2 linked regions of the Schizosaccharomyces pombe genome follow. The main gene of each other region encodes a partner of the protein of the gene in region 2 in a complex. Each region holds a gene or a part of one and is shown on either strand. Other genes may lie near its edges. The genes, in order: lsd2 and phf2.

Region 1 (6,608 bases), 660 kb from region 2:
GTCATCTTCTTCCGGTGACTTTTCAGCTCTTTCATGTCATAGAAATCTATCATTTTCTGAAAGCTTGCCTACTGCTGAAGATCAAGTTCATAATAATCACTGTGCCGTATCGCCTTCCAGAAGAAGTTCATCCAATGCTCTGTATCTAGCTACTTTGCCAATGGGTTATGAACGATCTAATTCCGTATCATACTGTTCAGATTCAAGTCTTAGCTCCCCTTTGCCTGACGACAATATGCTACAAGATCCACACGCTTTGAACATGGCGTATGCTAAAGAATTCGATGTTCTTATCAATGAAGTCTTACAGTCTCTTTAATTATTTATAACAGACTTCCTGAATTACGAGTCTTTATAACAACCACTTTTTTTTTGACAATTGAGATGCCATCTCCTATTAACTTTTGGATAATGCTTTTAATTATACATGTCCAAATATGGACTGGAGTCAATAACTCGGCATTTTTATATTATTTTATTTTAATATCATATGCATCTTATGTTTTTTTTTTAACTATTTCGTTGTAGTACTTGCTTTGAGATACATAGTGTCCATGGTGTCTGCAACAAATACAACCGCATCTGTTTTGGCTTAATTTAATGATTCTTAGTTAATTTTAATTACTTTTTTTCTAATAACTTATTTTTTTATTTATTTCACAAGCGTACTAGTAATATCATTTGTTGCTTGAATATTATGTTAATGGCAAAATGGTAACATGCATTACATCCTAAAGAGTGAGAGTAGTAGCTGTGTTTACGATATCATCTTTTATCTCTTACATCTTCGGCATTAAATCAGGTTGGCTACTGGCTAACGAGAAGTGTACATGTATTTTAGATTTTCCTTAAACAATTTGCTGAAATTAGCAATTTGATAAAATGCTTCATTTAGGGCATGACGAGAATATATATGTACATAAAATTTTAAGGGTATTTGTAATGATGCGAAGTAACTAAACTTTTAAAAAACAATATGTGATTTGATTTTTTTTCTTTTAATATCGTGTTCCATTATAACCCGAATCAGAAGATCCATCGTCATGATACTCTTCGTCGCTAGCCTCTCGACTTTTGGAAATGTTGTCATCCTGAGTTTGTTTTCTTTGCTCTTCTTCTCGTTGAGCTTGCATAAACAATCTTGCTTCATCATCGGGAATAGGTTCATCTTGGCATTTGGCCGCATAATCATTTCGTATTTGCTCGGCTCTCATTTCATATTCTTTAGTTAGGCGCTGATAACGAAGAATTTTTCCAGCATAAGCTTCTCTTTGTGCTGCAATTTCATCAATCCAAGGTTTTTTACCTAAATCATCAAGCTGGCGCCAAGTTTTCCCTAGTTTGGCACGTGTTTCATTAATAGTAGCCTTCGCTGTACTATCTCCTGTTAACCTTCGCTTGTCTTCATCAGCAAGTGCACGGCATACATGCCACTGCATTTTTTGGTAAAGTAAAAAGGGATTTGCATTCGGCTTGGAAGGAGGTTCAGGTAAATAACCAAGAAGTTCAGTTACAAGCTGTTCCTGTTCTTCCTTATGCTCGTCAAGTCTTTCCTGCTTTTTCAACCTATATCTTGCCTGATAAGAAAGGTGACGCTGTGCTTCAGCATTGGGATCAAAATTATTAACTTTAGAGTTTCGCAAAAACTGATCCAATTCTTTGCGAGAGGTTTCTCCAATGATAGGTATGGTTAAGGAAATTGGAGCCAATGAATCAATAATCCCTGTACATACGGAAAGGCCAGATAAAAAGGATCTTTGTAATGTCCTACAGCCTACGCAACTGAATATATAGTCTCCAGCAATATGCAAGCGACCCAAATTATACGATAACTGACTTTGCCTAAATCTTTTTTCATATTGCTGCTTATCATTGGCAAAATTTGGATAAGAATTTAAGCCGTCATAGACACCATTTCTCGACCAGTTTGTGACCCAAGCATCTAATAAATCAGCTGAGCTGTTTGAATCATTTTGAAAATGATCTACTATTAGACTGTGTAATTCTTGAATTAAGTGGGAGGTCTCGTTAGAAGAAGAACTTGTCATTTGTGGATTGATATCCGCTACTAATATTGGGACACCAGTTTCAGGAAGCATATTCCATATTCTCAAAACAAAACAAGATTTACCATCATTCTCATCATTGTTCATTTCTTGACTTAATGATTTTGGTATAATACCAAATGATCTAATGTTCTTTCGCCAAAAAGCAGCTGCATAACGAAGAATAACCTGCTCAATGTTAACTTTATAATTGAAAAAAAAATAAATAAATAAAAACCTACCTTTTTTCCGGGTTTGAAATCTATACTTTTTATGTTTTCAGTCACGAAATTAGGAAGACCTGGTGAAAACTCTATATTTGAAGAAAAATGAGAAGGAGAGCAAGCAATTACAACTTGGTCAACCTCATAAGAAGAGTTGTCCTTACAATCAAGGGTACATTTATCATTTTCAATAGTTACCTTAGATACAAACTTCTCATAATGAATATTTAAGGGAGATGGATAAGATTGTAATGCCCATGGCAGTTGAGATAGACCTCTTCTAGCAACTTTTGGAATCAAAATATCTTTGGAGAAGTCTGTATCAACTGTGTTAAGAGGGTACAAAGTATCGTCCAATTCCGCGACCTTAAAACACCATATCAGAAATTTCTTTTGACTGTTCCCGAGTTTGGCATAAGAAGAAACTTCATCAATTAGTATTAGCATTGTTTTTTTGAAGGAAAATTCATGTGACGCATTTAATGAGAGTGATTTGGACAAATGATCAGGGAACATTTCATCTATAAACAACTGAAATTGGGATATCCAAGAAATACGAACAGATTCCTCAACGTTAATAAAAAAGCAAACAGAAACATATTCCAAAAGTTTTTCCCATAAAATGTTTAATTTTTTCACCTCAACCATGTCTAATACTTTAGTATCGGTCTCATCGTAAACTAAATCTGAGCCAGTCATCTCTGTAACTTCAATACCCAATTGTTTATTTAAAAGGTTAAGCAAAATATCGTCCATAGGCGAAAATAAAAATTGAAATCCCAAATCAATTGCTGAAGGAATATGGGACGGGTCAGTAACATCCTTGGGGTTTAAAGAAGTGGAATTACTAGAAATAGAATTCGAATTAGATGTATGATGGTTAATTTGGGTAGCCGAAGTATGAGAAACAGGCAATGCTCGAGAGTAAATACGACCTCCTGTCCTTTCTTTAGCTTCAAGTATAATAACTTTAGGAGGAAGCTCATTCTTTGACAAAAAAGATGAAGAATACTGAGAAAATAAGCCAGTAAGTTGTCTAGCACATATCAAACCAGTAAGACCAGCGCCTACTACAGCAATAGTCTTCTGCTTCGATGCAGAACTGGATGTTGTGCCAGTATTAGTTTCATTCGTAAAGGATGAATCAAAGGACAAGCATCCATAGTTTATATATCCATACCTTACAAGGAATTCATAAGCTAAAGAGGCTAATTGGAACAAACATCGATCGACACATACGCCCTGAGCTTCAACTCTGGATATGGCATGCGTAGGATTTTTAATCCAAAGCCAACAAATGCTGTTACGAATTTGGAAATAATGAAATAATACAACGGGATCGTGTAAACGATCAGAAAGCATGTGTTGTTCAAAACTTTCTAAGGCCCTCGGATCGAGATTGCATTTACGAGCTGCTTCAGCGGCATGCTCAAAAAACGACTTTAAAGAAGATGTAGGGATACTGGCTCCTGCAGATGGTATAGTATGAGATGATGATTGACTAGACCATTGTAGCAGTACTCTAGACGGCTCAATTGCAACAGAACCTTCAGGCCTAGCACCTAACTCTGAATCAAAAAGTGCAGGACTACTAATATTACCAGATGTAGCAGCTGAAGACATTAAAGGGAAAGATGAAGCAGGAGGCGATACAACTGCCGGTGCAGTAGTAGGTGGTATTGGCAAAACTGCGTTATCAACACTTTTAGATAATTCTGTTGCTGATACCAACTGTGTAGGCATAAAACTTTCATGATTGCGGAATGTAGATGGGGTAACTCCATGAGAAACTTGATCCCGATACATCGACAAAAGTTGCTGAGAAGATAAATGAGAAGCGTCTAATGGATACGGATAATTGGAAAAGGCATTTGAGTTTTGGTGTTGAATGGGGCCTGCATGAATTGCCGTTGAACCATCTCCACTGGAAGAAAGCGGGTTTTGTGATCGTGAAGGATATGTAGATGGAAATTGCTGAGAAGACGGAGAGTTTGCATCAAAAAAGTTTTCGTATGTGGATGACTTTTGTTGAGGAAAAGAGGAACCTACAGTTGGAGGTAATCCAATTGTTCTCATTCCAGACTGCTGAGCGACACCTGCATTTGAATTGCCTAAAAGATGCTGAGGAAATGGTTGATTAGCCGCTTGCGAAATTGTGTAAGGGTGAAAAGAGGAATCATATCTAGAAGGTAAAAATGCTGGATTATAGTTTCCCCATTGATTGTTCAGTGAGCTAACTGGCTGTGAATTTAAGCCGCCATCTGTACGATAAGTTGACCTTGAATACGCGTTCTGATTAACAGAATTAGGTGTGATAGACTGTAATCCACCTCCTAAAATAGCTAAAAGCGCTTGTTCACTACTCACCAATTGAGGTTGAGTTGAATTAACGTTGTTGGCGTTAGCATATGATGAAGCCCGGTCAGAATGATGCTCTGTCATTTCTGGAAAGTCATAATGACCATCTGGATCATTCTCGCTCGTGTTCATAGAGTAAAAAGATACAATCAAAGTGAACCGAGGTGGTAAAATCTCATTGAATCTCGATTTGGTGTTTACAAAGTACTTTGCGCAACATATCCTTAACGATTCGTTAAAAAAATATCGTTCTAAATATTATAGCATAATGGGATAACGACAAATATTATAAGCATTTTTATGTCAAGTCCAATCAATCATCTATCAGACTATCCAGAATTTATATTTTTCTTTTAGATAATACATGTGTCTTTAATTATTTGAATACCATGAAGAACGCCCGAGAGGCATTCAATTGCCTATTTATCTGATTCATATTGCGAGTATTATTCTACGATCGCATTTGCTCTCTTCTACAGGCTTAACACTTTGGAAATGATGAACGAAAAATGTGAAGTTCATTAATTTGTATTCATTTTCCAAATTATTGCATTAATGTGTTAGCTCTTTCATGCTAAAGACTACTACCTAAACTCGTTGATTTCAACTTGCAGAAAACAATATTACAATACACTTGAAAGTATAGTCAGCGGAGAATAGAACAAATGGAGTAAATTATTATAACAATCCAAAAATATGTTACATTGCTGTTAAGATTCAGAAAAGCTTAGGATGTTTAGAGTAGTAGTGTAGATTAACTGTTTATCAATATTATACTAAAACATCTCATTATGGTTCAAGTTCGCTATTGTTGAATTTTACAAAAAGTCTAGTCCCGCCGGGGATCGAACCCGGGACCTTCTCCGTGTGAAGGAGAAATCATACCACTAGAACACGGGACTGTTGGTTGTTAACAGAAAAACTAAATGATATATATCATAATTACATTATTATTGATTTAAATAGATTAAATAATGAATAGCGAAGTTATTTGAGCTGAAAATTAAGTGTAAGTTTTTTATATATGTGCTGTAATGAACAATTAAAATTTCAGCCTAATCATATAGTTTTAAAAGTCAAGCAATGACTTTTTGCGAATGAACTAATTAACCATGGATACTGCTTTTTACAAGCAACTCCATTTTCCGTTTTAAATAGTTGTATACAAATGTTTTTTCCCCCGAAAAATTGTAAAAATATATTAATGAATTGACAATTTCCAAATGAGTTTGCACTCGGGCAGTTTAAATATATTTAATATATTAACTATCTACATACCATATAAATCCGGTAGTATTATTTTTTCTCAATATCTGCTTTTTCGATGCGTATTAATATCATAAAAAATGCTCCACATAGGATTTCATTAAAAACATATATGTTAACTCTAAATTTAACGGTAAATCGCTAAGGACTGAATATTATTTTCCAGCTCTTAACGAATATAACACCGCAGACGGACTTGGCCAATACCAAAACTAACGCAAAACAAAAGACCAATAAGAATCATGTGAAGTATTTTACCCTAAACTCATAGTATACAATGTCATGCTTGTAAGTAATAGACAGCTAAACGGGATAATATCTAATTTGTTTACCATAAATAAATATGCCGCACGACAAACATGCCAATCAAGTTTATGTTTGAAGAGCTCCAGATGCAACAACAGCAGGGGTTGAGGATTTAATATGTTCAGAAGCCATATTTTCATTGTCAGAGGACCTCAGCCATTCATCTATTTGTTGAATGTGCTGATTTAAATTGTGCAACTCCTGAATCATTAAATCATGCTGAGAACGCAATTGCGAAAGAACATTCAAAGCATAATTGCGTTTATCTACATTTGATCCCTGAACTTCAGGAGGAAACTGCAAAGAAACCGGCGAGGTAGAGGATTGGATTAAAGGAGCTTGCTGAGATTGCGAAGGTGAAACTTCTGATTTCGGTCCATTTGACATTGATGGCTGCTTGTCGGAATTT
Region 2 (4,415 bases):
TGGCTGCCTAAGGAATTATGGTTTGAGCTGAACCATACACTTGTCGGTTTTGGGCAAACAATCTGTTTACCAAGAGGAAGGCGCTGTGATATGTGTACTTTATCTTCTAAGGGCTTGTGTCCTAGCGCCTTTAAAGAAAAAAGTGGCATCACAATAACTAAGAGAAAAGTCAAAACGATTAAAAGAGTCAAAAAAAGACCTGCTTCTGAGTCACCTCCTCTATCTCCACTCTCCCTTCCTACAGATGATTTGTATTACCAAAGCATCGAAGATAAATCACTTATAAAACTTGAGGACTTGGACCCTGTTGATAGTATATCACACATGAATGAACCTTTGAAAAAAGAACCAGCCGCTGATATTGATGTAGATCAGAAGCCACCTGTCGCATTCCATTCAACTACAAAAGAAACTAGGTCACTGCGCAGGTCAAAGCGAGTTGCAAAAAAATCATCCCAGTATTTCTCCCAACAAAGTTTACAAGATATTGAAGATCTGGTTTAATTTATTTTTAGGACCGTAAATTTTGGACAACATAAATCTGTTATTTATTTACATGAATTACTCAAAATTATTTATTCTTTACAACTCCGTCTTTAAACATATTCAAGAACCTTTTGCTACTGACTGTATAGTTATAATATCCTCTACCTTTACTTTTTAATAATTTTTTTAAATCTTGGAATAAATTGAAATCATTAATGTTGTTATACCCTTCAACAAACAATGCAGAATGTAAGATACTCGTTAAATACTACTAAGAACAATTGGAGTTTCGTCGAACATATAATAAGTACAAAAGTTTTCGGTTAAATCCTCTGTGTGAGGCGTATACAGCATCCAATCGATAGGAATGGGGCCGGTTATAGATATGTCAGGGCGCACTGATGGTCGATCGGCATCAAACGTTCTGTTCAGTTCATAGCTGCTACCCCTCGCATCACGTAAAACACGGTTTTTACGGACCAGTCTGTTTAAGCTTCGAGTTATGTTCGAATTTTTAATTTTTCTATTCGAGTATTTACTAGAATATTAGTAATTGACGATGTCAGGAAAATATATAGAAAACTTACGCTTGAATAGTGTTAGTGATAGTAGAAAAAGAAACAGCAGCAGGGAAAGATTCTAAAACTTGTAAAACTATTTCATCTTCATTGCTATATTCTTGTAAGTATTCATCTATGGTAGGAATTTTTTCACTCTCCATGTATTGCTTATCCACTTCAACTGGTTCGGTCGAAGGTAAGGACGTCGAATGCTTGGTTGTTTTCGATTGTGATTCTGTTCCATTATTTAGACTTAGATACTGATCTCCCGTTACAGGTTCATTCATAGTAGCTGTAAAGGCAGACCTTTTGCTTTGGAGCTCTTGGACAATAGTGGAAGTTTTAGGACTATAGAACGGGATGTCGGGATGTAATTGCTCACAGAATAATAGGATGTCAACCAGTTGGGAGATCGGAAGACTTAAAAGATAAGACTTTTTCTCTTCCGAAGACAGATTTAGTTCTCGTGCCGTAGTTCCAGTTACGAGAGGCGCTTGCTTTTTTCTCCTAATGCAATCATCACAAAACCATTCTCCATTGGGGGAATCTAAAAGTTCATCAGAAATATAGGGTTCATGACAAAGTTGATGGAATGGAGTGTTACAACCATCACAGAAAACGATGCGATTTTTTGGTGGAGATTGAAGTCGTTGACAAACCGAACATTTCATAGCTAATGCGACCACAGGTCGACGACCTGGGCCACGTCGTCTAGTAGGTAATTTTACAAGGGGATCGAAATGATTAGGGCGATGCACTTTTCTTCCTGATTTTGTTTTGACACCTTCCAAATTAAATTGCTCTTCCCTACCATCTTCAGTAGAAAAGAGGGCGTCAGCGGTGTTGTCACGTTCAATAGCCAAACTGGCAGGCCATGATCTTTTCCGAGCAATGTTCATAGCAATTGACATAGGAGGTAATGGCGATGAACTTGCAGGAACATTTGGGGGTAACGCAGATTTTGTTTGGGAATCAGCACTTCTATGATGCGCATAATTAGATGAAGATGCGTCTTCAGTGAAAGGTGCCTGTTCGCTTTTTGCATCGGTTTCCTGATTTTTACTAGATTCTATTTCTTTAGCAACATCATCATTTTTGTACGAACCGAAAGCACCTGACTCCTTGTTTGGCTCGTGAAAGTGTTGGAACTGATTTTCCAAATGCATGTTTGAATTCACGTTAGGATTTTGTATATCCTGAAAGGCTTGATCTATTAGCACAGAGCCTCCATTTTGATTAGATTCCTCCCCCTCAAACATCGTTGGATGCAAATCATTGGGAAATCGACGACTACCGTCGAATTGAAAAGGATATGATGCCGCTTCAAAAGAACCGCCATCGTCGTCATAGTACGATGAATTCGGCATTAGGTTTTAAATCATTCATATGCTCATGTAAAAAACAAATGAAAAAATGAAGCAAATGGCAAAAAATGCGAATGTGTAAGTTCAACACGCGTGTTTGGAATTTAGGTGAGATTTAACGCAACTTATAAATCGTTTGCTGCTGTTACTCCAATTATGTTTTGCTAGCGAAATGAGATTGATCATCACTATATCTCGCTTATTCACTTCTCACTACAACTCACTGTCTAGTCATATATAAATACTGCACGTATCCATGAAGAGCTGAAATCTCACATTTATTAGAGCTTTTTTATTTTTAATTTTGTTAAATTTAATTATTCATGCATTAACTAGTCATAGCTATAAATATGAATGAAAATTTGGTCTTTCCTTTGTTTATATTTCCTAGATGGCCTAACAGCTATAATTGATTGAACTTGTATGCTATTAAAGGCGATAAACAGACTTCTTTAGTACTTTGCTAAAGAAAATATAATTGCAATGATCCAATTACACTGGAAATACAGGTATAAAAAATCGTCACAGTTTGGAAACAAACAATGCTTTTTTTTCTGTGGCTGTTGTGTAGCTTTGCTAGTATCATAAACTCATTGTACACTAGCGCAAGACACACTATACAGTAGTTAGCGCGAGGTATTTTATTATTCTTTCCAACTTATTTGTAATGAAGTTCAAATAAACAATGGGTAATTTAGTACTACTAAAGTCCTTGCGTTATTTAAAAGGTTTTTGTTTGAAGTTAGTGGTATATATTTTGGAATCCTAAAGTTATTGTATCGCCTTTCACTGTCAATGTGGAATACTGCAAAGGCCGATACTCCTTCTTTCAAACTTAATTGTTTCACTTTCTTTTCTTTCCATTTCAACGCAATATTTTACAATTTTTTTTAATTTAAAAGAGAATTCTGATCATTGTCTAAACTAAACTCCTGGCAAAACTATCATTTGCGTTGCTTGTTTAGATCTGCATAGTGCCTGAACCACTTGACTTAACGAATGTACTACTACCATCGTTAAGTTACAATAAAAACATTATTTCCTTTTTCCCACCATTTTGCCTCTAATTATTGTTAAAAATTATTTATTTCATGAATTAATATTAAAATAACGTCCATTATGGAAAAGGAAAAGCTTACAAATAGGACCAGTACTCACAAATTCAATGAAACTGACAGAGAAACAAATCACTCTAGAAGGCATCGTCACCACCACTCTAGGCATCGTGAGAGCAAGCATGGACGACATGATCGCAGTGAAAGGCCAAGCTCTAGAGAAGCAGGTGACCGAAGTAGGCATGAAAGATTTAGTAAAGAGCCATTGGAGGTAAAGAAACTTCCTGTTGAAAATGAATACTTTGACTCCAAATTCGCTTCTGCTTCTTCCATGCCATCCTCCAAAGACAATCCACAGAATAATGACTTTACTAATTCATTGCAAGGTTTGGATTTTGGTACGTTCGGTTCGCGTATACAAAGAGAACCTATTGACCGAAAGTCCAATAAGCCTGGTGAAATTTTTGTTGGTGCAACATTACAGAATGAGAGTTCGACGAGTACAGAACATAAAGATATAGAACAGCTTGAAACCGAAATTAATGAGTCAGGAATTAATTACAAAATTGGTGATAATGGCTCTCGATGGCGTATGATGAAGCTCAAACGCGTATTTGACATGGCTCAAGACCAACGACGCCCCGTTGAAGAAGTAGCTCTGGAACGTTATGGTTCATTGAAAGAATTTGATTTTGCCTTGGAAGAAAGAGATGAGTTAGAGCTTCGAAAACGAACTCGAAAAGTTCAGAAAGAAGTTCCTACTGGCGAATTATATGAAAAACGATGTGCTGATGAATTTAAGACTAGAAAAGATTCTGGTAATGGCGCTACATACTACAAAGTAATACCTGACCCTTCTGTAAATAAAGATACTCCCACTGAAAGCGATTTGAATAGATTAAAAGCTGATTTGTTACGTGCTCAACTTAAAAAGGATCCTAACTATGAGT

What was found.
Region 1: phf2 (region 2) and lsd2 share a complex: the UniProt entries of both Schizosaccharomyces pombe proteins name them as parts of the SWM histone demethylase complex.

Annotation. Positions count from the first base shown.
Region 1 is NC_003424.3:444,921-451,528, reverse strand, and holds lsd2 (putative histone demethylase SWIRM2), read right to left. Parts: upstream 4,760-6,608; coding exon 2,288-4,759; intron 2,235-2,287; coding exon 999-2,234; 3' UTR 803-998; downstream 1-802. Other genes in the region: meiosis specific arrestin family membrane adaptor Ste7, read left to right, coding at 1-319; Fe-sensing transcription factor Fep1, read right to left, coding at 6,266-6,608. UniProt on the Schizosaccharomyces pombe protein: Catalytic component of the SWM histone demethylase complex that specifically demethylates H3K9me2, a specific tag for epigenetic transcriptional activation, thereby acting as a corepressor.
Region 2 is NC_003424.3:1,102,862-1,107,276, reverse strand, and holds phf2 (Lsd1/2 complex PHD finger domain-containing protein Phf2), read right to left. Parts: upstream 2,510-4,415; 5' UTR 2,414-2,509; coding exon 1,074-2,413; intron 1,025-1,073; coding exon 748-1,024; 3' UTR 669-747; downstream 1-668. Other genes in the region: nth1 (DNA endonuclease III), read left to right, coding at 1-504; protein Cwf19, read left to right, coding at 3,530-4,415. UniProt on the Schizosaccharomyces pombe protein: Component of the SWM histone demethylase complex that specifically demethylates H3K9me2, a specific tag for epigenetic transcriptional activation, thereby acting as a corepressor.